4 linked regions of the Schizosaccharomyces pombe genome follow. The gene in region 1 interacts genetically with each later gene. Each region holds a gene or a part of one and is shown in the gene's direction. Other genes may lie near its edges. The genes, in order: rem1, arg12, msn5 and SPOM_SPAC521.03.

Region 1 (6,842 bases):
ACTCATTTAAAAAGTGAATTCAAATTATTTATCTCATAAAATTACCGGTAGAGATAAAAAAATTAATCATACATGCAAAGTGTATTACGAAAAATGCTGTACTTCTCAGTATTGCACTAGTGTGCTTTTATATATTCCACTGACTTGAAAAATTAAACTTCCACCAACTATGTGTAGCTAACAATCTTATGTTCTAATTGATAGTTTATTAAAACTATCGTTTGGCATCTGTACAAATACAATAATATTAAATACCTTTGTTCTCAGCTCATTGGACCTTGTAATTATAAAAACTTGAAACGAGTAAATCTACTCTGTCTCCATCAAACTCTCCTTATATTTTTTTATGATGAGGATTGAGTTGAGATTAGCGATATTTAATTGTATGGCTAATTAAATGAGACTATAAAAATCTGAGATGCCGTTGAGTACGACTACTTCAAGGTGGAGTGGTTGTAATTTAGTGCATGTACATATTTTAATTTGTGTATTTTTCCTAACTTAATATTACATTGGATTATCATAATTACGTTGACGAATAGATTCATTTCTTCTCGTTTTATCCAGTCCGTCCTTTTAATACAACAAGTTTATACCAATATGCATTGCTTGCTATATTGAAACAAAGAAATTCCAAGATAAAATCCCTTAAGTTTGTAGATTTCAACAAAAAGACAATGAAAATAAAATTAAACATATGGGAAATCCACAATCTAAAATATGAGTGTTCATCTCTTTTATTAATGGGAAGATGGGACAACTCGACCCAAAGGTAATCCCACACGAACTTTCTGCCCTTGTTTGACCAAAAATTCAAAATCCGCAGGTGCTTCAAACACCAATACCACTGTACTACCAAGCTCAAAATTTCCGACCTCATCTCCACGAAGTAATGGGTGACCATGCAAAATAGAAGAAGATGAGGTGTATACAGCCTCATCAAAAGTACCTACTGGGCCTAGTTTTCCAAACTGATTCGTACATAAATCTTTATCAAATTTAATTCGGATACTGCCAACATTTGTAGCACCGACGGGTATCATACTCATAAACCCGTATTTGTATCTCCCCATCAAAGCTACTCTTTCGTTCAAGATGAAAAGATTTCCGAGTCGACGAGCCATAAAAGGAGAAACGCTAAACAGCTCTCCGGAAAAATGCCTTCTTCGTTCTACGACCCAATCAGTCGGCGAATGAAATCGATGGTAATCACCTGGTGCCAAGTAAATAACTGCGTAGTATAAACAATTCGTTTCTCTTGATCCGAACAACGTAAACTGTGATTTGGCTGCCACTTTTGTTGAGCTTAACAAATCAATATGTTGTGCGCTAGCATCTTTGACATGGCTTGGTCGTTCACCATGATCATGACCCATTAAATCTTGTAAACTGTAATGTATACCATTTAACTTGGCAAACTCCTCTTGACGAATGTGAGGGATATGATCGGGAGAGGGAATAGCATGGCTGCGCTTCAAACGAGCTAACTTCTCATCGCCCAATAGTGCATCAAGGGAATAGGTTATACCTTTTACTTGTTCAAGCTGACCTCCTTCAATAACACCATAATTCAAGATTTTCCCATCCGCAGGAATAACAATTGGGGCATCGGGATCAATTACGCGCGCTCCAGGTTTCAACTTTCTGGTGAAAAACTCGGCCAGATTTTTGTATTGGCGGACATCATCGGGGTCAGCTTCTGTCAAGTTGCAACCAAATATTTTAGAATAAAGGCCAAACGCTGGCACTCTCATCCATAGAGGAATCTCAATACGATTAACATATCCCCACCAACGCGAGAGAGTTCGTAATGGTAAAGTGGTAAGGACATAAAATTGCCATGGTCCCTCCACCTGAACGCCTTTCTTCTGATACGTTTTCTCGTGACGATCTTGAGCCCAAGCGAAGCCAGCTAATCCAACCAAGCCGATTCCTGTCAACCCATATGCTAAGCGGATGATTCCAACCCGTTTACGAGAGTTGTGTTTTCCCAAACTACTATACCTTGCAAATGCACCAAATTGAGGCTTCACATTACGATGAAATTTTAGCATGTTAGATTGTTTTTATGGAATTAAACTTTTGAATGGATTTCGGAGACCCGTTAACTTTTAAACTTCCATATGCTATTTCTTCGAATCCATGTGCTTCTCAAAGGATAGTGGTAGAAGTTAAGTCGTAGTAAACTTGGGATATCAAGTAAATATGGGAACTGTAATATGATTTAAAGTTGTTGAGTTTTCATTTTCTTTCTTTTTTTTTTTTTTAAGGAAATTAAATCAGATCCTTGACATTGTATCAGGCAATCCTACTTTGCGAAAATCGATCAAAATTAGAAGAAAGGAATATTCCTTATAGCATTGTATAAGTGCAGAAGAAACTTTCGAAGCAAGTTTGTAGAAAAATCTTAGAATAGGAGATTCTTTTCAATTACATTTCAATTTGTTTGATTATAATAACTTACGAGAAGGCGTAAATTAATTATTTTTTTTAAGCTTGTTTGATGGTTACCTAATAGAAAAAAAGCTTAATTGTAGCAAGATTTCTTATGTTCAGTTTTCAATGATTCGAAAACGGTAAAATAATGGAATGTTTACAACCGATGAGCGACTGTAAAAACTCATCAATACAAATAATAAAAGAGTTTTTGATCAAAATCCTTGCTTTACTTTGATAACGTTTCGATCAACACAAAAACCTATTTCATGAATTCGGGCATTGTTTGGAATTTTTAAGCAGCATGAATTCTGATATAGTAGAGGTAAAGTTTAGTTTTGGGTTGTGTTTTACTTTAAGGTTACGACCGTTGGTATATGTATATGGGAAATAAACAAACATTTTCACCATCAACTTTTTGTTGACTCACTGTAAACAAACAGAACCTGCTAATAGCATACTGCCATTTTACAACAAAAAGTTCAAGAAAACGGTTTGATTTGATTCCCAATCATTAAAGAGTAAAAGCAATTGTATTGACTGATACTTGCCTACCTAAGAGCTTGGTTGAAACAATTAAAGCGACCGTTTCAGCAACGAGAACCAATTCAAACATGAACTCTAACAACAAAAGAGTTGCGCTTCAAGAAATAAGCAATTATGTTTCCAAATCATTGAACGTAAAAGGCTGGGTGAACGCACAGGTACGAGAAATATCCCTTCAAAATGGGTGTAGCCCATCAGATAAACATTTTCCGTCACAGAGCTGGCATGGAATTAGTTCAATTGAAGAGTCGCAAATACAAAAGGACTATGATAGTTTTTTAGCGTCACCTTTAGAGGAAGAGATAGTCTTTACGGAGAAACAGCTTTTGGTAGATTTGGATGTTTGCTCGATCAGTAACGTTCAAAGTCCTAATTGCAGTGTTTCGGAATTTGGCATAGCGATTGAAGAATCAAATGACAATTGTGCAGAGGAGGATGAAGAGGAGGAATTACAGATGAGATATTCAGCAGATGAATCGGTGTCTGTGGAATACGCAAAAGAAATCCTATCGCACATGGAGAAATTGGAGGTATGAAAAAAATGGGAAGAAAAGGGGGAAGGAAAACAAGAAGATGAAGGAGTTGAAGAAGTTTTTATTTATTAACATTTTTTAGATTCGATTTATGCCTGATTACCGACATATGTCGGCTCAACCATATTATGTTACAGAGATGAGGGCTAGTGTGATCAATTGGATTGTGGGGGTGCATACATGTATAAACCTGCTTCCAGAATCCTTATTCCTATCGATCAATGTATTGGATAGATTTCTATCTCTACAAAATGTGCCAGCATCGAAAATGAAACTTTGCGGCGCAACGGCGCTGTTTATTGCTTGCAAGTATGAAGAGATCCATCCTCCTACAGTGAAAGATTTGGAAATAGTGTTGGAGGGAGAATGGATAGGAGAAGATATTTGCGGAATGGAAAAGTATATGCTTATGGTTCTTCAATATCAACTTGGGTGGCCGGGGCCAGTATCGTTTTTGAGGCTATTGACGATTGTCAACAAATGGGAGTCGCAGCTGCGAATAATGATAAAATATTTTCTTGAAGTATCGCTAGTGGAACAAAGATTTTCAAGTCTAAGGGCGAGTCAATTGGTAGCGACATGCGCCTACACCGGCCAATCTATATTGCAAGAGGAAAACTGGAGCAATACGTTGCCTCAAATTACGGGATATGATTATATGAGTTTAGTTTCGTATGTGCATCTACTGTTGAAATGTCTAGAAAATCCGTTTGATCACCACTATGCGATCTATTCAAAGTATGCAACACCGTATTTCCATGGGATTAGTCGACAAGTGCATGACTGGATTGCGACAAATACGAACTTGATGGCGATGGATGGTAGTTGAGGGGGGGGGGGAAGAGAAAAAGGAGGGAAAAGAGAGAGAAGAAGAAGTAAGATGTAGGAAATTTAATGAAAGATAGATATGAAGAGGATGAGAGAGAGAGAGAGAGAGAGAGAGAGAGAGGGAAGTGTAGGAAAATAGAGAAAAAAGAAGAGTAGTAGTAAAAGTAGAAGAGTAAGAGTAGGAGAAAAAAAATTACACGAGAGAGTAAAGACTGGGGTTATAGAAGTGAAAAGGGAGACGAACGACTTGATATGGACTTTTGTGAAAGAAGCTCGAATTAAGGTGTATCGCTAAGTAAGAAGGTTTGTAAAAAGCGAGGGAGGGTGGGACGGAATAGAGAAGCGAAGGGTCAAGTTGATGTCGAGAGGTTGGTAGTGCGGTAGATGTCGCTAATAAAGGTTTGTGAGAAGGAGAAGAGGAATCGCTACCAAGTACCTTTTATTAAAGGAGTGCCTTAGAATACAGTAAAAGAAAATAAAAGATGAACAAGACAAGGAAAGAAAAGTACCTAAATTGAACAAGAAAAAAAGAATAAAAAGCAAAATTAAATTAAAAAAAAAAAGAAATAAAGAAAATAAAAAAAAGAAATATTATTATTGTTATTATTATTTTAAATTTATTTTATTTTTATTTATTTGTTTTTTTTTTTTAGTAAGGGTATATATTTTATTAATAATAATTTTTACCTAGTGGTCCTATCTATATCTTGTTGTTGTGTGTATCTAGATGTCTATGCTACCAAAAATCTGTAACCTAATTTGTCTTATCTGATAATATGCTCTATGATACTATGAATAGCCATATCAGCTCATGAATATAGGAATCCTTGGAGCAGTCATTTGATGAAACGAGCAGTTCTTTTGAAAGATGCTTATCAACGTATTTGGGCGTAAATAGAAAAAGTTTGGGTTGTAACATTTGTTGAGTTAAATACATTTGAAATGTTTCAGAGAGTATGCAGACGGAATTGTTGTTGCTGAACATTGGCAAACACATTGATTTGCAAACATCATCGACGTAGCATTTCCCCGGTTTCCCTGTCTCCAAGGGCTCGTCATCATTGCGTCGTTTGCAATAAGCGCAAGCCAACGTGGGGAAACATAGCACAGAGGGGAGAAACAAAGTGCGATAAGTTTAGTTTTCGTAGTGGAGCGAGATGCAAGGAGTGCTTAGGAATGAGAGAAGAGAAGAGAGAAGAGAGTAAAGAGTAAAAGGATGTAAGGGTGTGAAGATGAGAGCATTTGATAAACAAAGGAAAGAAAAAGAGAATAGTCGAGTAGAATGGATGTAGAATAAAATATAATGCAATAAAATAAAATAAAATAAGAACAAAATAAAAATAAAATAAAATACAATACAATACAATACAATAATCATGAATTTTCATCTTCTTGGAATGAAACCATATCTTTTCCTCTTTTCCTCTTTTTCTCTCTTCCTCCTTTCCTTTCCTCTCCCCTTTCTCTTTTTGCATTTGCGAGTTGCATCGAAGCGACCCGCTCCATTTCGTAATTCCCGTTTCCATCGACGTAATGCACGTCGTAATTCCACCACCAAGAGAAAGCAAATGATGGAAAAGTCCAACACAAACACCGACTGGAGGAGTCAAACTCACGACAACCAGCATGAACAAACAAACCACACCGAAAATACAGACAATTCGATGTCAAAGGGCCAGGCTGATGGCTGAGTTGCGACCGACGTAGAGGAAATCAACCGAATAGCAAAAGAGGTAGAAAAGAAAGGAGAGATGAAAAACAAACGCAATATTATCAAACAATCACAATTCATCATGTAAACAATAAGAAGAAAAAAAGAAAAGATGGCAAAAAAGAAAAGAAAAGATGGTTTCAACATTTCACTTTTCTATTTACTATAAACTTCAATTCATTCTTACATTCCAACATTTATTCATTCCTTCTTTTCTTCATTCATACCTTTTCTCCATTCTCTCACTCTCACTCTCACTGCCCTTCTCTTCTCTCTCTCTACTCCACAGCGTCATCCTTTCCTCATCCTTTTCCCTTTCCATCCTTCAACTTAATTACTGGTAGGGTCGGTGACGTTTGTTTCAATTTGGCTCGTGGATGGCGACGTATTTGGGCATTGGAATGGCATGCCTATTGCTACGCTCACACTCACCATGCCATTCTGCAATGAAGAACGTGACGTAGATTGGAAAAAAAGTATTGAATCGCTCGAGTTGGGCGTGATGTAAGGCATTGACTCATTTACTATATATTGATGGGTTCGCTCGTCCTTCTCTTCTCACATATAACAATTACGAAAGAAAAAAGATTAAAAAAAAGATTCGCTTCTTGTTTGCTTTTATCCCATCTTATTCAAACGACTCTTATTTACTCGATTCATTTGATTTGATTTGATTACTCTCTTGTCTATAGTACATTTCTACCTCAATTTGTACTAAACGATTTCTCATACTCTTATACTATACTATACTATACTATTTTAATTTTTCTTTTTTCATTCAGCCCTCA
Region 2 (7,260 bases), 1.5 Mb from region 1:
TTCCAGTACCGGGTTCTATGGATACTGCATCAGTCTGAAAATACAGTTAGCACGGTTAAAACTAAAAATCAGGGGAATTAGGAATTCTTACCAAATTAATGATTCCGCTTGGGACACTAGTTGATTGAGATTTGGAGTAAAAGAGTAAACCACGGCAGTCTTGAGTAGCTTTAGCGATACGGTTAAGGTGATCATTAGCAGACTGGAAGAGGGAATCAGCATCAGAGTCGTGCATTTGCTCAGAAGCTAAGGAAGGTTCCGTTGGGTTACCTTGCAAAGTACCATGGAAGTGTTTTTTATAATAATGGTCTAATAAATCCATAGACATAGGGCCTTCTAGCATATAAAAATACCTTTTCATGACATGACTACATGTGGTTAGTAAGATTACTCAATCGATTGTTTGATTTTTAATAAATGGATGCTGTTTTGACTTACGGAATAAGTCCGTTGGATCGACAGTATAAATACCCACCAGTGGTGTAGGTCAATGGTTTTTCATCCTTGGCTTTCTTCTTGGATTTTTTTTCTTCAACCTTGGGAGCTGCCACGCTGTTTGGATCATCATCTGCAGGATCGATATTGTCGACTGTTTCAGGCTCCTTGGGTTCCTCAGGTGCTTGTACTTCTGCAGGAACAGCGTTTTCAGTGGCATCATCATTGTCGGTTTCGTTGCTCAATGGCACCTCCAGTGTCTCCACCTGGGCCTCAGCAGATCCCGAATCATGTTCATTGTGTTCCGACACATTTTCGAAAGTAGGTTCAGCAATCTGCTCAGGTCGTTCTTCACGGCCCTCATAAGACATGATAAGAAGTCGAAAACAACAGTTAGGCTCTCAATTTTGGATTTTTTTTATGCTGTAAATATTTGTGGTAGAGGAAAAGTCTGCGCCAAGCTGGTTATTTGAATACCAATTGTTGGCGAGAATGTAAACAAACAAATCGACTACCTAATATACAAACAAACGATGGACATCAATAGAAAAGGGAAAATACATAGAATTTACTTTTTAAATGTTAAAAAATTTCTACTAATTCATTCTTATTAATAAAATCTTCAACGGCCATTAAATCTTGTATTCGCTCATTCGTATCAAAACATATACATTCTTCTGGAATCGAGCTGTCTGCGATTGAATGAACTATATAGTATTGAGAGATTTTACAATTAAGTGTTTGTCTTTAATTTCTAATTGCGACTACCATCCTAAAATTTTCATTTGAGTTGAAATCTGTTTAACAACAACAGATGAGCCATATTTTTCATTGACTTTATACATGATTGTCACCATTAGTTCCTTTTTTTATAAAAATTAAATGTTGTTTAACTATTCTGCTCATTTGTTTTGCTTAAAAACTAAGTAGGTTTTAATTGGTAAGAATTTTACGAGATTTTAAATTTTTATTTATTTACTTATTATTTTTGACGAACGCTAGTTTCAAAAAAGCAAATCCAAACTCGAGGTATTTTCAAATTGTTTAAAATTTTCAATAGAATGGAAGGATGTTTTTTAATGCTTTCCACATCTTTGAATTGGAAATTTCCTTTTAATATTTACACTTCTTCCAAGAAAACTATAGCAATTTGTTTCATTATAACGACATAAGTTTGTAGGAGAAAAAGTGTGAGAATATAAAAGTTCCATAATAATACATTATTCTCTATGGATTAATTATTTTTTTTAAATATTTTTTTAAGTTAAAAAGCTGGTCTTTCCATCCATGTAAAAATTGGAAAAGGAATATCGAGAAAGCAAAATAAACCAGGCCCTACCTGCGGAAAGGGATTTTTCTTATTATTCAAGAATACTAGCAGCTTACCTCTAACGATTAAAACAATGTATATTTTTGTTTCAATACTATTTATTTATAAATTGAATAAGTAACCCAACTTACGCCAGGTTATTTTCGCATTTTATGTAAACGCTATAATGCGATAGAAATCGCTAATTTGTACTGGATTGAGTAAGTATGAATATCTGACGTGCCAAAAACCATGAAGCAATTTGAAGAACAAATTGAGTAGGTTTTTATGAATGTCACGTATTATGTATTTTTCTAACAAATTTAGAAGGTTTAAGCAGGCGTTATTTGAAGATTCTGATGGTAATTATTGTCAAAATGAGATTTATAATTTTCACTAACATCTCGTATAGCCTCGGATTCCGACTCTTCCATTGGAGAGGCACTTACAAATCGTGGATTAAAAAGAAAGAAAGGATCGAAAAATGTATATTATGGTTGCGTCGGTAACTCTAGTGGCTCCTCTATAGACATTGATGTATGTGTGAGTAATTGGGAATCGTAAACTGCTAACCACTACTTTATAGTACTATAACATTGGTAATACTAAAAGAGGAGTTGTCTCTCATTTTCGAAGGAGAATAGATCCGGAATGGTTGGACCATGATAACCCATATAACGATATAAACATAGCTGGTAAGTCGTACACACACTTAGTTATGTTAGACATACAATTTTTTTGATTCATTGTGCTTTTGGAGATTTCGTGTTGTGTTTTCAAAGATTGATTATGAATTGAATTGAAATATTAGTTATCAGCACTCGCCAATCATGGTCATATACATCGATCGCTTGCTAACTCAGTAAAAATTATAGAGATCATGTCACCGCTGACAAAACCACAAGACTTGCTCACACATCCTGCTATATCTTCCATATTTGAACAAAATTATTTATCAATCCTTGCTTCTTCTGCTCTTGAAATTATATCTGCTGAACACAAATATACTGCTCATCTCGAACAATTGATGGTTGCACTTTTAGGTGATGACCCATCACTACCAGGACCACCTCATGAAGTGTTTGGGATTTCTCCTGAACAGTGTAGAGAATTGACGATCACAGTTCAAGAAGCTTTGGAAAAAAGCAAGGAGTTTATTAGATGCTGGACAAACGTTCGCATGGACCTTCTTCGGGCCATTCGTTTTAAAAACAAAGTCATTGCTTACTGCCAAGGTGAAGACTATAATGGTAATACCCAAGTTTTGTCTAAAAATGAGAGTGATGGAAAACCAAATTCCTAAAATTTATTGATTTCTCATCAATCTTTTCAATTTCATTATTTTGAAGCTGATGAAGCGTATAAGTCAGCAAAATAAAACGTTGAGAATATTATTCTTTATTCCATTCGATTTACAATTCCTTTTTACGACATTATAAAAATAGAATTATCCTTTTTTAAAACGTCTTTGGTGATTTCTTCTGCAATGAAACTTAATTATTTCTTTTACTTTTTCATAACGTTGGGTTTTTTCTCAAGCTTGGCATCCCCAGCTATTAGAAACTTTGTCTTATAATTTGAGATACTGCTACTTACATATTCCCTTTGGCTATCCTAATTTCTATCCACACTTTTTTCTACTTATTCTTTCCAAGGGAAGTACGTTTACGTTTGCTGTTACATAATTTCATTTATCACTGTTGTATATTTTTTCGTTCAATCAACCGACTAACATGTGCTTGCCATTTGTATGTTAATACATTACTTATCCTTTATTTTGCTTTTTCATTTCCCCAAAGTATTAAAATTGTTATTTGTTGTGAAATTGCCCAACCTTCTTTTTGTTAGAACAATGTAAGTGCTTGAAACAACAAGATTACAAGGATTTATCGCAAAACATATTCAAGTAAACATCAATCTTTAAAAACCTGAAACCATCAGAACTATTGTTTGACTGTCCCTGATATGATTGTATCACTTTCTTCCTCAAAACTAAATTCAGACACACTAATCAATGCATGTGTGACAAGATATTTACGATTCCTGCATGTAATTTAACCGAAACCTGTTTTCACACATTTCTCAATTAAATTTTTGTTAAGAATTCCTATACTAAGAAAAATTTTCAGATGTGTGTAAAATTTCCATCGTTTATCTATAAAGATGGTTTATTGATGAGAAAGATAGTAAAAAATAGTGTCGGCTATATTATTACATCAGTGCGCTATCAGTTTAAAAGGTTGGGCCTACTAACTTAACATATACTACACCTCAAGAAAAAGAAAGAAATGCCCCAAGAAGTAAAACGTTGCGTTCTCGCCTATTCAGGTGGTCTTGACACCTCCTGTATCCTCGCCTGGCTTATTGAAGAAGGTTGGGAGGTCATCTGCTATATGGCTAATGTTGGTCAAGAGGAAGATTGGGATGCAGCCCGTGAAAAGGCCTTGAAGGTGGGTGCTAAGAAGGTTTACGTTGAGGACTTGCGTGAAGAGTTCATCAATGACACCGTCATTCCTGCTGCTCAAGCTAACGCCATTTACGAAAATGTTTATCTCTTGGGCACTTCTCTTGCTCGTCCTATCATTGCTCGCCGTCAGATCCAAATCGCCGAGAAGGAAAACTGTATCGCTGTCTCTCACGGTTGCACTGGTAAGGGCAACGATCAAGTTCGTTTCGAATTGGCATATTACGCTTTGAAGCCAGACGTTCAAGTCATTGCTCCTTGGCGTTTGCCTGTATTTTTCGAGCGCTTCGCCGGTCGTAAGGATTTGCTCGAATATGCTGCTGCTAAGGGCATTCCCGTTACTCAAACCACCAAAAAGCCTTGGTCTATGGATGAAAACATTGTACATTGCTCGTATGAAGCTGGAATCCTCGAGGATCCCAGTATGACTCCTCCCAAGGACATGTGGAAGCTCACCGTTGATCCCAAAGACGCTCCTGATGAGGTTGAAGAGCTCAGCATTCACTTTGAAAAGGGTGCTCCCACCAAATTAGAGTGCAAGGATGGTACCTTTAGCGGAGTCGTTTCCATCTTCTACCAATTGAACGCTATCGCTCGTCGTAACGGTGTTGGTCGTATCGATATTGTTGAAAACCGTTTCTCTGGTTTGAAGAGTCGTGGTTGTTACGAAACTCCTGGCTTAACCATTTTGCGTACTGCTCATATGGACTTGGAAGGTTTAACAATGGAACGTGAAGTTCGTGCTCTCCGTGACCAATTCGTTACTTTCAATCTCGCTAAAATTTTGTACAATGGACAATTTTTCTCTCCCTGCACTCGTATGCTTTTAGCAGCTAACAACGTTTCTCAAGAGGTAGTAAACGGTGTAGTTAAACTTTCTGTCTACAAGGGCAATGTCACTGTCCTCGGTCGTAAATCTGATACTGCTCATCTTTATGACGAGAAATTGTCATCTATGGATGAGCTTGGTGGATTTGACCCTACATGGACCTCTGGTTTCATCCAAATCGAGTCTATGCGTTTGCGTAACTCTGATGAAGGAAAACATTGGATGTAAATGCCAGGTCGTTCTCAATAATAATGTCATACTCACCATGTACTTGAGCCAAGCAATAATCAAATTTCTGCTGTGCAAATAAGAAGTATTATTTGAGATGGCTTCCTTTTCATATTCACATTTCATAGAATTACTCCGTTCATATCACTGATAAGTCAATTGAATATTTTTGTTGCAAAAAAAAAATAAATTCTGAAAACTGTAACTAATTGAAATTGAAGTTTTATATTGCAAACGCAAATTGTTAAGATGTTTAATGTACTCAATACTATGCTTTTAATTTAAAAAATATTTTACAGGCCTTTAGCCATTCTTCGTATACAGTCCTAAAATCAAGAATAATGTCGAAACCATCTTGAATGATAAATGAAATGAGGAACAAAAAAGATGAAAAATATATTACTAAAATAAAATTTTTTAAAGCATATCCATAACACTTTGTACTCGGTAATCTGAAAAAACAAAGAAGATAACGCTGCTAGTCAATGTTCAAAAAGATCCGTTATTGATAAACCAGTAAGCAAAGAGACAACCGATTAGTAAGAAAAAAGAAATTACAGCAAGTGTTTTGAAGAGGGCAAGGGCAATACTGGTAGTCTTATTTACAATGACCAAAGAGAAGTATAACACTATAATCAAAGTCAAGATATTAATAGCTGAGGGCAAGCTCAATCCTAGATTTCCATTGAACAATGATTTTAGGAAAGACGTTTCATATTTTTCGAAACTTTTGCCTACATTTTCAACGGTTTGAAAGACTTGATCAGGATTGGTATTTAATCCATGGTCCACAGCAAGTTTGGCGACGAAATTCCATAAAACGGATGTCAAAGACATTTTCTAAAAAGTTAAAATATGAACGGGGAGTAATAGAGATGGGAGTAGTTAGGTGTGCTTTTTGACTGAATGTTGACGTTGTAGGCGAATTTTACCAACGATTACATTTGCTAATAAAATATGTTAAAATAAAAATTGGAAGATGAGTTGAAATAAACGGTTCTATAAACAAAACTCATTTAAAGAAAGAACTGGCAAACAGATTATGTCAACATATCTCATCTAATATCGAGACTACTGATAAAAAAATCTAATTTGCTAATGACTACAAGCTTTTATTGTTTACTCTTTGTTGCTTACAGTTCTAGTCAAAGGAGGTATTTTATTTTCGTATTTCGCTGTACATAGCATAATTTCATGAAATGCTTTTCTCTATAAATATGCTTTTATAAAGAACTAGTTAATAAAAAATTGCTTATTTCTAAGCTCTTTTAGGATTAGTAATATATAAAAAGGAAGATAAGTATTTTTATCCCTTTTTAACTGGATTGTTATTACTATAAAAGAAAGACTCTTACGGTTGATAATAAAAGCGTAGAGATCAGAAGATAAAAGTAGAATTCACCGCCTATATTTCCTTTGGAATAAATATCCAACAGTATACTTACTATTATAGAGAGAAAATTAATTTCCCTTTGCCCTTTATCATATAAAATGGTTCTTTTTATGCTGAGTGCCTAGCATAATTCCTTCCTTTTCGAAATATCAAAAGGCTTGTGAGACTTCAATTGGTAAATGCTTTAAAGTGAGTTATTACTAGCTCGCTTCAACCACTTCAGCTTGATTCTCCAATAACCGAGTTTTCAAAAGTACTCATTCTTGCAATTGCTATAAAATTTTTATCTTTATTTATACCATTACCATTGTAATATTGTTATAAGGCATCGCTTTACTTACTGAACATAAAAAAAATCTTCATCATAAAATTAATTAAATGTCAGAATAGAAAAAAGTGTTTAGAGGGTCCAACCGTACAAACAAACAACTTTTACGTTTTTAACATTTTCATTTCTTCAATAACCCCACAGTTGTTTTAAGCTATTACTTAAGCGAGGGCTGCACATGACAATGTGGCTAGTATACCCTTTATATACATTTTGAATATGCATATGAAACCCATTATATTAACGCTGGAATAGCGGGAATGCTTGTTTATTA
Region 3 (9,973 bases), on another chromosome or scaffold:
ATGCTCATATAGCTCATGGTCCAATTTAGCCGATTGTTCATGATTGGCAAACCGATTGTAGTAATGTAAGTATCTTTCTAATGAGGCTCTAGATTTCGATTGCGAATCCCTAGCGCTTGTACTACTCTTCTCTTCATATCGATTGCATGTGTACCAGTTGTTCCCATGCTCAGTCCAAGGACCCAGACAAACCCAGCAAAATTCGTATTTGCATTTCTTACAAGTCATATGATTACAACCACCGTTTTTCTCAATAGTGGTAGAACATTTTGGGCATTCTTTCGTGTTGGCATGAATCCAGTTGGCCGTCTCAGAATCGTCTTGGCATTTCTGGAGCCATATTTTTACCAGTGGACATATTGTCGGTTGATGGTTGTCATGTCCACAGCCAAAACAGAACTGCTTGCCACAATTACAGGTTACTGTAGGCACCACCGAACTTAAACTAGCTTGTGTAACATGGCACTCGATAGCAAACTCACAATCCGGAGCTGGACACCATCTTAAATGATCATTATCGTCAACGAATGAGCGATCCAGAAGCCGATGATACCGGTCAAGTGACTTTTCGTCTAACACTTTTGTGATGGATTGAATGGATACAATTTGCGTACAGCTCTCTTCAGGGCATTGAATGACACTTTCACCTTCACTTATTCGGGAATCAAGATATTGTCTATAGCAAGCTAAACAAAATTCATGATCGCATTCAGCACTGAAAAATGGGAGACAACCTTCATCGTAACAAATCTCACAAGTCCCTTCATGGTGAACAACTTCCCGCTGTTTAGAACCACTAAGTCCCACACCTGCTTTTTGAAGGGATTCCTCTGGAGCATCAATATACCTCTCTAGCAGTCTTTCGCGGTTCCATTTGAAATATCGATATAACCCTAGCACTTGCTCTCTCGTCAAATCAATGATACTAGTAAGTTGATTAATCTTCTCATTTAGAGAGGCCCTAAGATCGCGAACGCTGACCACTCTATAGCTCACGCTGTGAGCTCTCCGCCGTTTCCTCTCTACAGTGAACCCATCATCATCGATTTCTGCATCTTCATCAAATTCATCCTCGAATTCAGAAGCATCCAAAAGATCGTTTTCAAATTCTTCCTCATAAAATTCATCGTCCAATAGGTCAGACATCTTAGCTTTAGTTATTCACCGAAATTTATTTAACCGATATTCAAGAAAGGTATACAATGAATGCTTGTCTATCAGCAAAACCACTTGTTTTTTTGCCGAATTGCCTTATATAAGCAAAAAACCTACAAATAATCCGAGCAGGAAAGTAATTGTTTAAACCGCAAACGAGATGCCACAGCAGATGGAATCCACTCAAACAAAACAAACGAGTAAATCGTGAAATCTTTAGTAAAGCTTGTCGTGAAATGGCCACCTGTAACAAGACTGAAAAATAAGAGCCAGATGTATGCAAAAGGTAAAATACTTCGGCTTTGGCCTTTATGAAATGAGCAAGACAATTGCCCTCCTGCTTTCCAAATCAAAAATGTTTTAACGAAGTGTACGGGAGATGGATGCTGCTGCATTCAAAGAATATTAGAAATTTAGCCTCCATCTGCAATACCAAGTGGGGGTTGAAACGAGAAAAGAAAGTTGACTATGTATATAACACACTGCAATGTATCGTTATCGATGAATGGCAGGCTAAACACATGCGGTGTATGCTGGCTTGATTGTTTCTTGAAACACCCAACACGCAGTTACGATCTTGCTTCGTTTCAAGATTATTATTAAGGAAAATTCATTATTTATTACCTAAGTATTGGAATACTTGTGATTACTTGATTATCTTTGTAAATTTCTTTGCATCACAAAGGAGTCCTGAAGTAAACAGTTTTTGAGTTTCAGTGACTCGATTTCAATAAACTGGTTTTGATGGATGAAAAAGGTTTATCAAATATTTTACAAGCTCTGAATGTGGTGCATTCGCCTGAAAGCTCGCGAGAAACTCGGTTCTCTGCCCAGCAGGTAAGTCGCGATGAGTCATAATGGAGATAGCCATGGTGCTTTGCGGAAACGGTCCATGAATATTTGCTAATTATCGTTTTTAGTTACTAGATGAACTTAAAGATTCGTACAGCAGTCCATCGGTCGCCATTCAACTCTTAGAGTTGAATGAGCAGGCTTTTTCCTCACTCGGCTGTAAACTTGACATTCATATAGTACAACATTTCTCTCTTAGTCTTTTTGAAACGAGTGTTGGAATGAATTGGAAAAGTTTCTCGAATAAGGAAAAGGAATCTGTCACTAGCTTTTTATGTAAAATATCACTCGAAGACAATAACCTGCTGTCCGTACATTTTGTGCGTAGTAAACTCGCCTCCGTATTTATTGAAATTGCAAAACGAGACTGGTATAACACATGGAGAGAAGAATTTGACTCCTTTCTACAATCACTTTGGTCTTTAAGCCTTCAGCATCGTCAACTATCTTCCCTCATCTTGCGTGGTATAATGGAAGACTTGTATCAGTATGATGATCCCGTTGCATCCTTACGCTCTCATATTCTTTTTAATGCGCTTATCAGCATCCTATCCTCTTCTTCCACCCTGCACAAATTATATCCTTCAGGTCTTCCTTATTCCGTTACTATCCCTTCTAACAATGAGGGTTGGCTTATCCGGTGGGGCAACGCTTTAGAAAGTCAAGATGATGCTTTAGAATGCTTAAAGTGTTTCAAAAGCTGCCTGTCCTGGGTAGCTACTGATTCCATTCGAGAGGCAAACATCGTTTCACATATTTGTCAAATTTTAGTCCAAGGGCCAATCTTTTTAAAAACACACGCTATTGATTGCATTTATATTTGTGTAACCAGAACCATGGAAATTGATGATCCTCTGTGGGAAATAGTCGAAGAAATGCTGTCCCCATCTAGTCTCTATACCCTCCATCAAGTTTACACTGCCACATCTGAATCAATAAATATTAAAACACTTTCATCTACAACTCCCGAATATATTCTTTTAAAAAAACTGTCTGAGACCATAGTTGCTTTGGGCCAATACAATTACCTTGACTCTAATCGACGGAAATGTATTAAACTCACATCCCTGGACACTTATTCCTTACTAGTATTGGAAATCATGAAACATCCTAGTTTATTAATCAGTGCTATATCTCAACACTTTTGGGTTTTAGCATTGAGGGATCCCATTATTTCCAAACATGAAAAATTTCAAATCGTTTACCCTGAGTTGTTAAGTATTGCCTCCGAGAGGTTACTTCGTTTTGAGGATGCAGTTGTTGAACTCATACCGGAGTCTGCTACTGCTAAATACCTTCAAGAGGATGTGGAAGGTGTTTCTGCTGTGCATTCGTTTTGCGGTAACTTTCGTAGGTTTATGTTTGACATTGTTAGATTAACCGTATCCATCACTCCCATCGAGTCCTTAAACTGGATTCAAAATCGTTTTCAGTCAACTGTTCTTGGCAATATGGAAGATATTCAATCCCAGACTGAATTTTTTTCAAAGACCAGTCCTCTTTATCTTACAATGGATGTTGGATTTTCAACGATAGAAGCGTTTTTGCACGGCGTTACTCGTTGGAACGAAAACACTTCTGATGATCCCGCTACTTATGAAATAATTTTACAAAATCTGTTTTTGTGGTGCAAACAGCTTGTTGAAATTAACTTCAAAGACCCTATGCTGATTACTCGTTTGATCAGTGTCTTAGTGTTATTTACATCCATTCTTGCAAGAGAAAATACTACCCTGCTTGGTGTTGTCCTTGAAAAAATTATATCTGCTGTCACATACGATAACACTTCCGCATCGTATGGATTTTCCGATGTTCAAAAAATTAATGAGATGCGGAGTAGATGCTGCTTTGAGCTTGTGAGACTAGGAGAACTAATGCCGAACCCTTTGATGAATATCTTTGATCAGTTGCAATCTATCATCGATCAATTGGACAATGCTACAACATTAACGGGCTCTGAAATTGTAATGTTAAAAACATTTCTGTTTGTAATAACTCAATTTTCTGATGTCAATATTGAAGTCAAAAATGAATATTTTGAAAAATTAGTTGGACCGGTTGTCAAGACTTGGCTTGATGTTCAGCCACCTGTTAACAGTCCAATGGAGTTTTTGAATCACATTGGGTTTCCTCAAATGGCTGAATACTTATCAGCAAAGTATCCTTACAATGCTGATTACACACAGTTTGAACTGGATGCTGATGCTGCTTCATATCAATCAAATCTTGAAACTGGCCGTAAATGGTTATGGCCGATTAAATGTTTGGGGAGATTTTGTGAAGCCACCTGTAGTAATAAACACATACATCCATCTGAATTTGAAGGGCAAAAGAACCTATGGCAAGTTATCTTGCCAAATGTTGTTCCAAATTTGTTAAAATTAGTTGAACAGTTGCATTGTTGTTATGAGCCTTCATTTATAAGTGGTCTAGGAATGCACAATTCTTCGATACTTCAAAAAAGTATTGTTGAAAGATTTTGGTTGCATGGTGTAAGTCAAATTTCTAAAAATCAATTTTTGGAAGAGTCCTACAAGATGGACGTCTCAGCTAACAAGTTAATACATTCGTTCGGTCATTTTTTAAGGCGTTTAAGGGAATACTGTTATTATGCTATAGCTTCATTTATGCGTCTAGGTCAAGCATTTTTTTGTGTACCCGGATTGTCTAAGCAGTTTTTGACAGCTTTCTTTTCTCATGCAGCTGGGTTAAGTTTACATCAATGGACGTCTATGGTGAATGTTGTAATCAAACCGTATTGCGTTAATTGTCCTGCAGAACTTCGCGATGAATGTCTTTTACCTTTACTGCCAGCTTTGCTGTCCGAATTAGATCACAAACTAGTTAGTGAGTGGCGGCGGATTAACGATCGCGGATTACTTGTTGAAGAAGATGCTGAGGAGACAGGAGAGGATGATGATTTGTCAGAGGAGATGATTGAAGAGTCCTTGCTTCGTCATCTAACTTATGCTACCGCAAAATTGATTACCGAAACATTTTTACAAATCACTCCTACCCAATCTCGGTCCAATGTTTCTTCAAGCTTAATAGGAAAAGAGACTGTTGAAGGTCCTGTAAAGCTTTCCGAATATGTATTGGATAACGCTATCATTTGCGAACCATTATTATGCACATTATGCCATTTATTGGTGATTCATGACTCTCGGACTGTGGGGTTGGTAGTAAATGCGTTTTTGGCGATTACTCCACTCTTAGTATCTGAGCAGGCTCATTCATTAGTACGAGAGTTTATCTGCCAACAGGTGTTTCAATCAGTCATTCTAGCTATCCATGATCCTTACTTTGAGTCAATGCAGTCAGATTTTATTCGATTAGCTTGTATTATTTTGTCATACTCGCAAGGAATTACTGATTCAGCGTTTCAGTTGCTGGCTAGTATTCCGGCCCTTGCCAATCAAGAAAATTTGGTTCCAGCATTTTTCAACAAATTCCGTGAAGCCTCCACGCTAAAAATTCAAAAAGCTTTGCTTACGAGACTTCTTAATTCCGGTCGAATTGTACCGAGAACTGACCGTAGAGCTGTCAATGCCGCCATCCTTGATGTAAGCGCCAAAGAAATGCTGAAAAGGTTTGAAAAAAGTGTTAGCTTGCAAGACGAGCAAAAAAATGATGTACTCTCAAGAGACGAAGATACGGGGTTGGCCAATCTCTTTGAATAAAAGATAAAATCAAGGAATGGCAAGCATTCAAAGATTGTTGTTTTTTTTACGCGAACACATTAATTTGATATCACGACTTCTCATTCAGAGTAGTCGTTTTACTCAGTTCAATAAATTCCTAGCTTTATTTCTTTTAGTACTGTAAATCAGCAGCATTAGCATTGCTTGGAAATGAGTTACTGGTTAACTATTCGCACATATGGTCATTTTATGGAATTAACCGATCCAGCATTTTTGAAGTTGTGGAATGATTTTTTAAATTTATCATTATGACTTTATATTTAACGTTTAATGCTTACATTTCTTAGATTTTAAAAAAGGGTGAAAAAATAGATGTCCTTTATCTCTTTGCAAAGGGAAAGAGATGATTAGTCTTTTATATTTACTATTGTTAATGATGTATATAATGGCATGCATGTGTTTATTGACATCTATCAATGTAGAAGCTGGGCAATTTTATATAAGCCAATATACGATGCTTTTTTTTTTAATTGCTTGTTATTTAATAAACACTCATTTCTTTCTATGTAATTTTCGGCTAAAACGCCTGTATTTATAATGGGACCTTTGGGGTTGTTGGAAATCTTAATTTGACTGTTTTGAATTTTAGCTATTTTGTTTACATTGCTCAGTCTTTATCAATACCACACCAACCCCAACATCCGGAGGTTTCACTAATACGAGATATCATTAGAAAATCCCCTTAGAAGTATTTAATATATACAATATTATTAATAGACTTGACTATTTCGTTTAGTGTAGACTTTCTTTCCAACACCCAAGGTTGTGACCCCAATTTGCGTGCTCTAAGGTTTACTTACTATTATAATATAGTTTCGACCTAACAAGGTTCCCCATCATCGTATATCTCAAGAAGCTACATATCGCAAACGAAGCCTTTTATAAAAAGCTGATTGAAGTTTTTTATAAGGCTGTTTTAATGCGGCTCTCATTTCTTCGTTTTCAGAGCAACTATCTGGTGTTTTGACATCAATCCCATACATGCATCAAAAATGACGAAGAAAAATGCCTTTAAAAATTCAGAAGACATGAAGAAATATCATTTAAGCGAGTTTAATTCGGAGGCAACATCGCTTACTAGACCCTCTCCAAAAAGTAAGAAGGCTGTGGACGACGATCACGGAGAGTTGAGCAGATTCACTAACAAAGTTAGGTTTACAACACGTTCCTTGTAAGTTCTTTAGGCAAGGAACTTGTACAAGTGGAAAAAACTGTATATTTAGTCACGATTTAGAATTGGCGACAGAGAAAACTATTTGTAAATACTTCCAAAAAGGAAACTGTAAATTTGGTTCTAAATGCGCGTTGGAACATGTTTTACCTGATGGAAGAAAAGTAAAGACAAGAGCCTTTGCCCCATCTACTACAGCTATGGGCTCAAGCTCTCAAAACATATCTGCTGCTCCTATGGCTAACATCATTTCCAACAATGACAAAATATTGCCAATGACTACTATGGCATCAGCCACAGCTTCAGAAGAAAAAAATCGAATAAAAGATGAAGCTTTAGTAATTAAAAAGGAAGAATCCAACGTAGCTATTCCATCGGAGGTGACTGTTGCTGCCAATGCGTTCTCCGCTTCTACAGAAGACGTATATTCTATTGTGGGGGATAGTCTCTCAAAGAAAGCATCTGTTAAGGATTTCAGTGATGTGACTGGCATAGAAACCATTCCTGCCTATGTTGAGGCAACTAATGGAAGTTCCACGGTACGTTCACCACATGCAAAGCGTAGCCTCAGCTCCATATCTGTTAAAAGCTCTACTTCTCCATTTTCTGGAAGCAAATTTCTATCTAGTTCTTCCTATCCGCATACGCCAGAGGCACATCTTAACTCCAATCACATCTCACCCGCCTCATTTGGCAGCGGAATCAGAACGAGAAACATATTCAATCCAGAATCTATGTCTCTTGGTTTGAAACCCCCAATACTAAATCGCTCTTACAGTGCATCTATGGCTCCGGGATTTTCTATGAATACCTTTACCGCAACCGGTAATCTTGGACGTCCTACCAAAAGCCCTTCGGTACCAACAAGCGTCGGAAGTAATAAGAGTAGGAAGTTTCCAGGAATAAATGGTAGTACGCTTACTGCTACTCCTAGTTCGCTTGAGAACCTTTATCCACTATCAAGTCGTCGGAGCGTTCCCAATCTTATATCTTCCCTCGGTACTAGTCCCTCGACGTTTTCATCACAGTTCCTTAAAAGTACTGACCGAACTCATTCTTTCACCTCGAAACTTCAAAGTTTTAATCCTGTGGGGACATCTTTACTGGCTTCTTCCTTGGGAACTTCACAAGAGGACTCTGTAAATTATGACATTCCTGACGAGTTCGCTAATGAGGAAGATTTCATTCCCAACAGTTTGCAAGAACTCTTGACTCCAGAGGAGTTGGAACGAAAAATGAGCCATGGTGATGAAGCAGTAAGTTCTTCCTCAGCTTCAAGATTTATGTCAAAGGTTTCTTCAAACCTGAATAGTGGGAATCCTACACCCTACAATTCTTATAATGGAACACCCACCTCCAGTAGGTTTGTTGCATTTTTTGATCGTCATCGACAAGAATCTGAGAAAGCTACTCCTCCTTCACTTAACAAGGTTTCCCAGGAACCGCTTACAGCAACTACACCTAAAAATTTAGGAAATTTGACTGCAATATCTGAAACTTTAGAAAACGGACAAACCCTGAAGTCTAACATGGCCTCTTCTATTGAAAAATCAAAAACTTCAACAGAAGTAGTGGCTTCTTACGATACAACTTTGGATGAAGAGACTCAATTCCAAATGGATGAAGCTTAGCATATGCCCTATATCGTTAGTGGCTATTTCGATTTAATAATGTGGCTAAACAAAAAAAATTTAGCTTCACAAAAAGGTGATTATTTTCGTGTTTCACCACTTATTTATTATATTTGTGCTTTTAATGGAGATACCAAAGGTTGCGAGCTTTATCTATGATTGTCACTGCTAGTTAGTATTGGTAATAAAAGTAGTGATAGCTGTTATTTACATTGAAACTGCAAGTATAGTTAACTTGGTGACAATACTAACGACCCATAAAATACTGATGAGATTTTAAGAACTCCATTTTATTAAACCAGTAGAGTTTAAAATAGTAGAAAATTTGTCAGCATTGAAACCGTCTAGACATTCATTTTGTTTATTTAGAGACTTCATAAAAGACGATGGGTGGACTATCATAGTAAAGTATTTTGGGAGAATCCCACACCTCCAGCTGTCGAGCATAGAGGTTTTGGATGAGCTTCAAAAAGTTAAAAAATGTCTCTTGTCGTCGAAGACTAGCGCTAAGGATAATTTTACAATTTGGATTTATTGTTATAATTTGTGTTAGGGTAGTAGCCAAGCACCTTAAATCACAATCGTAAGTCTATAACATACTGCATAATAATTAGTACGCATCAAAGAATGCACTAATTATTAAACAATAAGTTTCCGTTAGCAGTTTAACCTTAACACGACTTTTCAATTTCCTATTTATAGTTCAAGATTCTTGACTTACCACGTCGGATGCAAAAACAATATCTGAGAATTCTGGTGGATCTACTCCCCATAGTAACTTTTTAACATTTATATCACAATTGTTTAGTCGAGCGTTCTCTCGCACACCATCACACACTTTTGTATCACCGTCTGTAGCCAAGACGATGGACCCCATTTTTGCACATAGTATACTAACAAGACCTGTACCAGCTCCTAGCTCTAGTACCCTCATTCCTGATTGAACGGGATGTTGATATATGTATTCGGCGAGAGCCATTCCTGCTTCCCATGTACGAGCTCCAGTGGTTCCTTCGCGCAAAAGAACATGCCGGGATTCCCGTATTAAAATATCATACTCTCCTAAAGAATATTGTACAGGAGGTATATACGTGCTGGAGAGAGATTCGATATAAGTGTACAGCAGTGCCTCGTTTCGTTCATTATGGCCGCTGTCAATAGAGTCTAAAAATCGAAAATATGATTTTAAAAAAGCCCTGGTGTATGCCGAGGGTGTCACTATTTCCGAAAGAAACACTTGTGCATAGTCATTAAAGAGAATAGGCCAGTCAGTTGGCTTGCTTACCCATTGAAAGCGATATAAGTCAACTTGCTGAAGATATTGCTGTTTCACTTTTGTTAAGAACTCGGGGGCACCATGCATACTCCCTGTGATGCCTATGATAATTAATTGCCAGCAAGAATATCGGTTACAAAAATAACTCACTAAATGACAGTTAGCAATGCATTGTTATACTTTTCTC
Region 4 (6,887 bases), on another chromosome or scaffold:
GAAGCAATTTCACTAAACTTATTGAAATTAAGGTAATAATATAATTTTAACAGAAAATTAATTGATTGTGAAAATATGTTAATTTTTGTACTGTAATGTTTTTCATTTCTATTTATTTGCATTTGAAAATTATTTTTCGTTAAGCGAATTCAAGAAGCCCTATGACGGTACCATAAAATATTAAAACGCAGTAACTCCATGATCGCTATATTGTATTTATATTATATTCTGACTACGAGTATCCTTTTAAGTGTTAGCTTTATGCTACGAATAAACGACGATGACCATCCAAATGAGAAAATAGGATTTATATCTGCTATAAAAGGAGATTTCCATGATCTATCTTCTGATTATTTAAAAAGAATTGCCGCAATGGCATTTCCTATTATGAAGGAGCATGGATTCGGAGTCACTTCGTTGGATGAGGTTGCTTACAATGCAAAATTTTGGGGAAGAAACTGGAATAAGGGAGAATGTATTGAGCTTGTCCTTAGAGACGCTTCAAATCGATGGTTACCATTTGAATTTGTCATGGACGTGTTTTTACACGAACTCTGTCATATTTGGCAGGGGCCGCACGATCGTCGGTTTTTCAGTCATTTATCAACTCTTCGAGCTGCCCTGATTGCTCTTTACGCCAAAGGTTATAAAGGCCCTGGAAAGTACATGACTTGGGATTCATTTGTCCTTGCCAATGTAGTAGGAAATTATAACACCGTTGTATTTAACGGAATAACTTTGGAACGCAGCACAATGCATGGTGTGGAAACTTGTGGTGGATCTTTGCAAAGAAAAAAGAAAATCAGAAGAAAGCCTACCCCTTCCTCAACAAAGAAGCGGAAGCTTACACGAACAGGACAAAAGCTTGGAACTGATATGAACATAAGATTAGAGCTTTTGAAATCACCTGCAAAACCCCAAGCTCAAAGCATGCGCGGAAGGGAAGCCCGAATTGCAGCGGCACTTCTCCGAGTCGACAATTCTAATGAATATAAGCCTAAAGATCACAATAGCTCTACAACCTTGGAAAACTATTTCGTAGTAGAATAAATTAGACAACAGAATAAATACATAAAAAAGAAAAAAATTTGTATACAAAATCAAATCACCTTTAAATTGTAGCATTTTTTGGGGGACATTTCGTACTAGAGTAACACGATTAACAAAGAGAAATAATGAATACATTAAAACAAACAGCTTTCATTTAAAGACTAATATATCTCTTAATGATTGATAAACCAATAAAAATGTATTAAAACAAAATATCATAAAAAATGGCAGAAAGTATTGTTCAAAAAAAAACACATAGAAATGGGAATTCGCTAGCTTTCCTAAGTAATAAATTTCAATAGATAGGGAAAAAAAAAATAAAAAAAATAAATAAAAAAATAAAATGAAAATAACTTAAATAACCAAAACCCTCGTTTCAGCACCAATTATTGAAAAAATCCATTATTAAGCTGCAAAACAGTGTTGAAACCTGCATGTCAAAAAAATTTCGCGAAAAGGTAAGCATAAATTTCAACCTTACTTCCCTATCACTACCAATTGCGTATTACATTACTATATGCGATTACTATTCACTAATTTTCTGGGGAGATCTTCTGTGATCTAACGCTGAAATTTGCAATCATTCGCAATTATATTTTATTCCAAGATCTCTAAAAAGAGTCTTTTTCCGTTGAAAAGAACATTTCCGATGTTCTACCATCTCATTCATATACAAATCCTAACTGCTTAAGGAAAATGATTTCCGCGGATATTCCACGGAGCAGCCAATTAATGAGGTTTTCGGTAGATAATCTGCTAATAACGATAAAAAACTATCTAATATTATCAAATTGATAGAATATATATATAGGAGCAAGTTAGGAGTTATGAACCTCGTAAATATTAGGAACCTCAATAAAGTCTTGGCGCACTAATAGGTAACCTAAACCAAGTACAGTCTGTTGATTTAAATCATCACCCCCACGTTATTTTCTAAGTCTGGAACATCTAGATTTTTACTGTGGTTTTATTATATAAATTACGTTCATTTGTAATTTTATCTTTGTATTTATTTTTTTGTTCTTACTCTTCAAATACTTTCTGCCTTATATCTTTAAAAATGAGCCGTTTGGATGGAAAAACGATTTTAATCACTGGTGCCTCTTCTGGAATTGGAAAAAGCACTGCTTTTGAAATTGCCAAAGTTGCCAAAGTAAAACTTATTTTGGCTGCTCGCAGATTTTCTACCGTTGAAGAAATTGCAAAGGAGTTAGAATCGAAATATGAAGTATCGGTTCTTCCTCTTAAATTGGATGTTTCTGATTTGAAGTCTATTCCTGGGGTAATTGAGTCATTGCCAAAGGAATTTGCTGATATCGATGTCTTGATTAATAATGCTGGACTTGCTCTAGGTACCGATAAAGTCATTGATCTTAATATTGATGACGCCGTTACCATGATTACTACCAATGTTCTTGGTATGATGGCTATGACTCGTGCGGTTCTTCCTATATTCTACAGCAAAAACAAGGGTGATATTTTGAACGTTGGCAGTATTGCCGGCAGAGAATCATACGTAGGCGGCTCCGTTTACTGCTCTACCAAGTCTGCCCTTGCTCAATTCACTTCCGCTTTGCGTAAGGAGACTATTGACACTCGCATTCGTATTATGGAGGTTGATCCTGGCTTGGTCGAAACCGAATTCAGCGTTGTGAGATTCCACGGAGACAAACAAAAGGCTGATAATGTTTACAAAAATAGTGAGCCTTTGACACCCGAAGACATTGCTGAGGTGATTCTTTTTGCCCTCACTCGCAGAGAAAACGTCGTTATTGCCGATACACTTGTTTTCCCATCCCATCAAGGTGGTGCCAATCATGTGTACAGAAAGCAAGCGTAGGCATTAAAACTATGTTACAAAGCTGTTCGTTATTATTACGATTTAGCAATTAAGTTCAATTTAATGTATGCATGAAGTTTTGAAATTTTATTAATAACACGTTTCCCAACTATTTCCGACATTCGGTTATATCAGAAGATATTCGTTATTCATTAGTTTTCGTCAATGCTTGAGGGCCCATAAAACGTAAAAAAATATAAACATGAAAATGATAAAGCATAACTTGATTGAAAATTGCGTATAGAGATCGAAGCCTCTTCGTTTCTTATTACAAAAATGGTTCACTGAATGAAACGCAAGTTTCAAAGTGATGATGTAAGCTAAAAATAATAATCTATAATAAAAGTGTAAAAATAACTAGAGCTCAATTACAACATATTGACAACAAGGTGTGCAGAGAAAAAATCTAGTAGTTGAAGAATGTGAAACCAAGCATGGAGACAAGGTATGCCAATACCAAAATCGAACCTTTGAAATAGTTGCTTTTCCCTTCTGAATGAACATAGGTTAACAAGAAAACGCAAATCATCACGCAAATCATGTCCCACGTTGGAAAAACCATGGTAAACAAATGCTTAAACGATATTGAATCACCAGAACGATAATATTGAAACAGACTGTATCCCATTAAACAAGGTATCTGCAAAAGACAAACTTGTAAAGCATAAGCGGACCCAATTTCCATTGACAAAGCTATATTTTCATTTAACGCAAATGATATAGCATTCATAAACTCAGTTGTATTCGGTACTAAAGCAAATAGAGTAAGTCCAAGAAACTTCTCGCTAATGGCAAATTTATCCAAAACCGTATCTACATGTTCGACAAGAATCTCGGCAATGAGGGAATATAAGAATGTTGCCGACAAAAGAATGATAGCACTCTTGCTTCTTGACCAATTTGGAGCATCGTCACCGTGGGAGTTCTGACTTTGATTAACTAGAGGTCTTTGGGGTAACTCGTTTGTTGGTTCATGCTCTAGCGACTCATTTTCACTTCCATTAGACGACAACCCTGAAGAAGCATCATCACGGTTGTGATGATGTTGAGAGTTGCCGTTGACAACAGCCTCTCCTCCTTCAGAGCTATCCGACATATTGCCTGCAGTATCTTGATTTACAGGCTCACCAACTTCTTCCTCAGCCTTGAGGAAAGAGATATCATCGGCGGTAAAATTTTGCCATATATGGGAGGCATGAGTTCTTAAAGTAAACCATAAACCAATCGCATATGCCAGTACAAGCATAATCGAACAACAGTAAGTAAATGGAAGGACTCTATTTTTATATAGTGAATCATTTTCTAAAACATAGTGTTTCGTACACTTCTGACAGTTCGCGCCACAAGGCTCACAATCTAACCTAAAAGGACCATAGATTCGAAAAAGCATAGTGGGGGCAAAAGCACCCAAAACAGCAAAAAGAAGCATTGTGCTAGTTGCACCAGCAGACTTTATGTTAAAAAACTGAAATTTCTTTCGAATTGCACCAGCACACATGGAGAGCCCAGGCATCAAAAGTAAACCAGCTAGTATACTGCCAATTACACTTCCTTCAACCAGTCCAGCGTTACCCTTACGCAGAGCAACTGAGTAAAGAAATACCTCAATTACTGAACCAAAAAAGGCATTTATAAAAGCGCCCATTCCCATACTGCTTTGAGCCGAAATTGAAGCCACGGCCATTCCAATAAAATATGCAAGAGGGATAATACTCACCAACGAAGCAGTGAATAAAAATACAGAAGAAGTAAACCAATGACCTTGGGATCCAAAAAAGCCAAAAAAAATGGTTGGGATTATGAGCGCTAGCATATCAAAATAAATTATGTAAATACCATCGATAGTATACTTATAATACTTCCAGCTTGCTGCTTTTTTTACACATAGTAAGACAACATCTGAAGAATCCATCGATAACGGCAAAGCGAGATTTGGACGAAAAGACAAAGATAATGGGCAAGTTCGCAAATGTCGACAAATAGCCCATAAGGTCCTTGCACATGGAACGAAAAAAATAGTAAACATACAAATTGCAGAGGTAATGAGTAGTGTCGGAGCAATAATCAAGTAATACATAAGTGTATAAATGATACTGGAAGCGTTTCTTCGATGTGGGGTAGTATTGCAATCTAACGATTGGTTCATTGGATTAACACAGAAAGAAAACGAAAGGAAGTTTAAGCGGGCCGGATCCGGGTGATGTGAAGTAGGAGTTTCATCATAATGGGAATGTTGAGTCTGATAAATTGGATGAGCAGGAGAGCGTACTGATAGACGCTTGACTTTATGTCGAACATGTTGACCAAAGGGATAGAGGAGATAAAACATAAGGCCTCGACAAAGCTTAGAGTAAACGATCGCGTCAGGCACATTAAAAAATGAAAGGACTGTAAAAAATATATAACATATAAAGATCACTAGAAAAAGAGGAGCCCCGAAACAAATCAGCCATATGACATTAGAGATGGAGGTGTTGGGGCGTTTCAGAGGTTCATCGTGAATATCAATGTCAGCATCACGGTTTATGGATCGGAACTTTTTATATAATGCGGGTTTCCATAGCCGCATCCCGAATGCACGAGTCTTGTTAATAGCGTTTTGCCTTTCTTTCAAAGTAAAGGATTCTTCAGATCTGAGAGAGGCGGGAGACTGACCTCTTAAGGGAGACAGAGGACGTACCTTAAAGTTCTGCTTAGGAATATCTCTTTGTTGCCGAACATTACTAGAACTACGACTTAAACGAGATACCGAATTTCTGGGATGCTGACGAGCATTTGAAATAGTTGAAGTTGATGGATCAGTCCGAGAGGAAACTTTCCGAGTATACTGATCAATTTCTCTAGGAGAATATATGTCACGATCATTGGTAGATTGGGATAATGAATCCGTTGCATCAGCGTCGCCCACAGTTGGCATTAAGAAATCGCCGAATCGCAGATTCTGTTCATAAACTGAAGAAGAAGGAGTTTCTTCTGGTCTATCAGCCCGTCGACCCTGGGTAATGGTTTCCGCAGAGCTCTCAGATTGATTTATATCAGCAGGTTGAGACATTGTAGGCGGTAGTAATTGTCACAATGATTACTTTTCCGAATCAAACCCTCGCCAAATATTCTATCCCTTAAAACACCTGTACGTAGCTAAGAGGATTGAGTAAATAGGTATTTATAAAAAATTGTTGAAGGAATAGTGAGAAAGGAAGGCATGATTGGAAAGGTTGCGATCATTTTCTATTACGCATATCATAATCAGAATACCAAATTGAAAAAAAGAACGCCAATTCTACAATATCGAAGTCCTCCCATTAGTTCGTTAATGAGCATACAATGTTTACTTCGTTAAAGATTGTCGGGATGAATTGAGCTTAATCAGAGCCGAGCATCGTTGTACAGTTTACTAAATGTAGAGCTAAGCGATAATACGCTAACTTACGGTATCGGTTTTTGTAAGAATACACCGAATTTCGTTAAGTACAAAGTATTAGTAGTAGTATGAAACAAAAATAACAGTCACAGCCAAACCCAAACAATTTCAGTTACTGTGTTATATACTAGTTCATCGTAACCACAGCAAATCTCTTTCTGCAAAAGGATCAGGATGGGTATTACGAGAGATTCCCGCCACAAGCGCTCTGCTACCGGTGCTAAGCGTGCTCAATACCGTAAGAAGAGAAAATTCGAGTTGGGTCGTCAACCTTCCAACACTCGTATTGGACCTAAGCGTATCCATGAGGTTCGTGTTCGTGGTGGAAACAAGAAGTTCCGTGCTCTTCGTCTTGACTCTGGTAACTTCTCTTGGGGCTCTGAAGGTGTTTCCAAGAAGACTCGTATCATTCAAGTCGCCTACCACCCTTCTAACAACGAGTTGGTTCGTACCAACACTTTGACCAAGTCGGCCATCGTCCAAATTGATGCCGCTCCTTTCCGTGTTTGGTATGAAACTCACTACGGTATTTTGATGGGAAGCAAGGGTAAGAAGGCCACTGCTACACCTACTCCC

The links.
Region 2: mutations in rem1 (region 1) and arg12 together harm fitness more than expected from each alone (negative genetic interaction), as found in Schizosaccharomyces pombe (one large-scale study listed by BioGRID).
Region 3: mutations in rem1 (region 1) and msn5 together harm fitness less than expected from each alone (positive genetic interaction), as found in Schizosaccharomyces pombe (one large-scale study listed by BioGRID).
Region 4: mutations in rem1 (region 1) and SPOM_SPAC521.03 together harm fitness less than expected from each alone (positive genetic interaction), as found in Schizosaccharomyces pombe (one large-scale study listed by BioGRID).

Annotation. Positions count from the first base shown.
Region 1 is NC_003423.3:1,950,921-1,957,762, reverse strand, and holds rem1 (meiosis specific cyclin Rem1), read left to right. Parts: upstream 1-3,050; coding exon 3,051-3,512; exon of another isoform or gene 3,513-3,597; coding exon 3,598-4,344; downstream 4,345-6,842. Other genes in the region: phosphatidylserine decarboxylase Psd1, read right to left, coding at 741-2,054; SPOM_SPBC16E9.20 (uncharacterized protein), read right to left, coding at 5,402-5,971. UniProt on the Schizosaccharomyces pombe protein: Required for pre-meiotic DNA synthesis and S phase progression. Regulates levels of meiotic intragenic recombination.
Region 2 is NC_003423.3:447,776-455,035, reverse strand, and holds arg12 (argininosuccinate synthase), read left to right. Parts: upstream 1-4,010; 5' UTR 4,011-4,032; coding exon 4,033-5,265; 3' UTR 5,266-5,596; downstream 5,597-7,260. Other genes in the region: pleckstrin homology domain protein Meu6, read right to left, coding at 1-34, 92-368, 439-806; Clr6 and Rpd3L histone deacetylase complex subunit Rxt2, read left to right, coding at 1,997-2,022, 2,072-2,106, 2,157-2,281, 2,331-2,439, 2,620-3,047; nuclear membrane organization protein Apq12, read right to left, coding at 5,755-6,102.
Region 3 is NC_003424.3:3,466,734-3,476,706, reverse strand, and holds msn5 (karyopherin), read left to right. Parts: upstream 1-1,706; 5' UTR 1,707-1,899; coding exon 1,900-1,992; intron 1,993-2,075; coding exon 2,076-5,687; 3' UTR 5,688-6,194; downstream 6,195-9,973. Other genes in the region: dbl4 (ubiquitin-protein ligase ), read right to left, coding at 1-1,146; zinc finger protein Cps3 , read left to right, coding at 6,701-6,803, 6,862-8,510; efm3 (methyltransferase), read right to left, coding at 8,872-9,099, 9,232-9,873.
Region 4 is NC_003424.3:843,035-849,921, forward strand, and holds SPOM_SPAC521.03 (dehydrogenase), read left to right. Parts: upstream 1-1,886; 5' UTR 1,887-2,110; coding exon 2,111-2,890; 3' UTR 2,891-3,108; downstream 3,109-6,887. Other genes in the region: DNA repair WLM domain metallopeptidase Wss1, read left to right, coding at 262-1,050; sst1 (calcium permease), read right to left, coding at 3,297-5,942; rps802 (40S ribosomal protein eS8), read left to right, coding at 6,486-6,887. UniProt on the Schizosaccharomyces pombe protein: NADP-dependent dehydrogenase with broad substrate specificity acting on 3-hydroxy acids. Catalyzes the NADP-dependent oxidation of L-allo-threonine to L-2-amino-3-keto-butyrate, which is spontaneously decarboxylated into aminoacetone.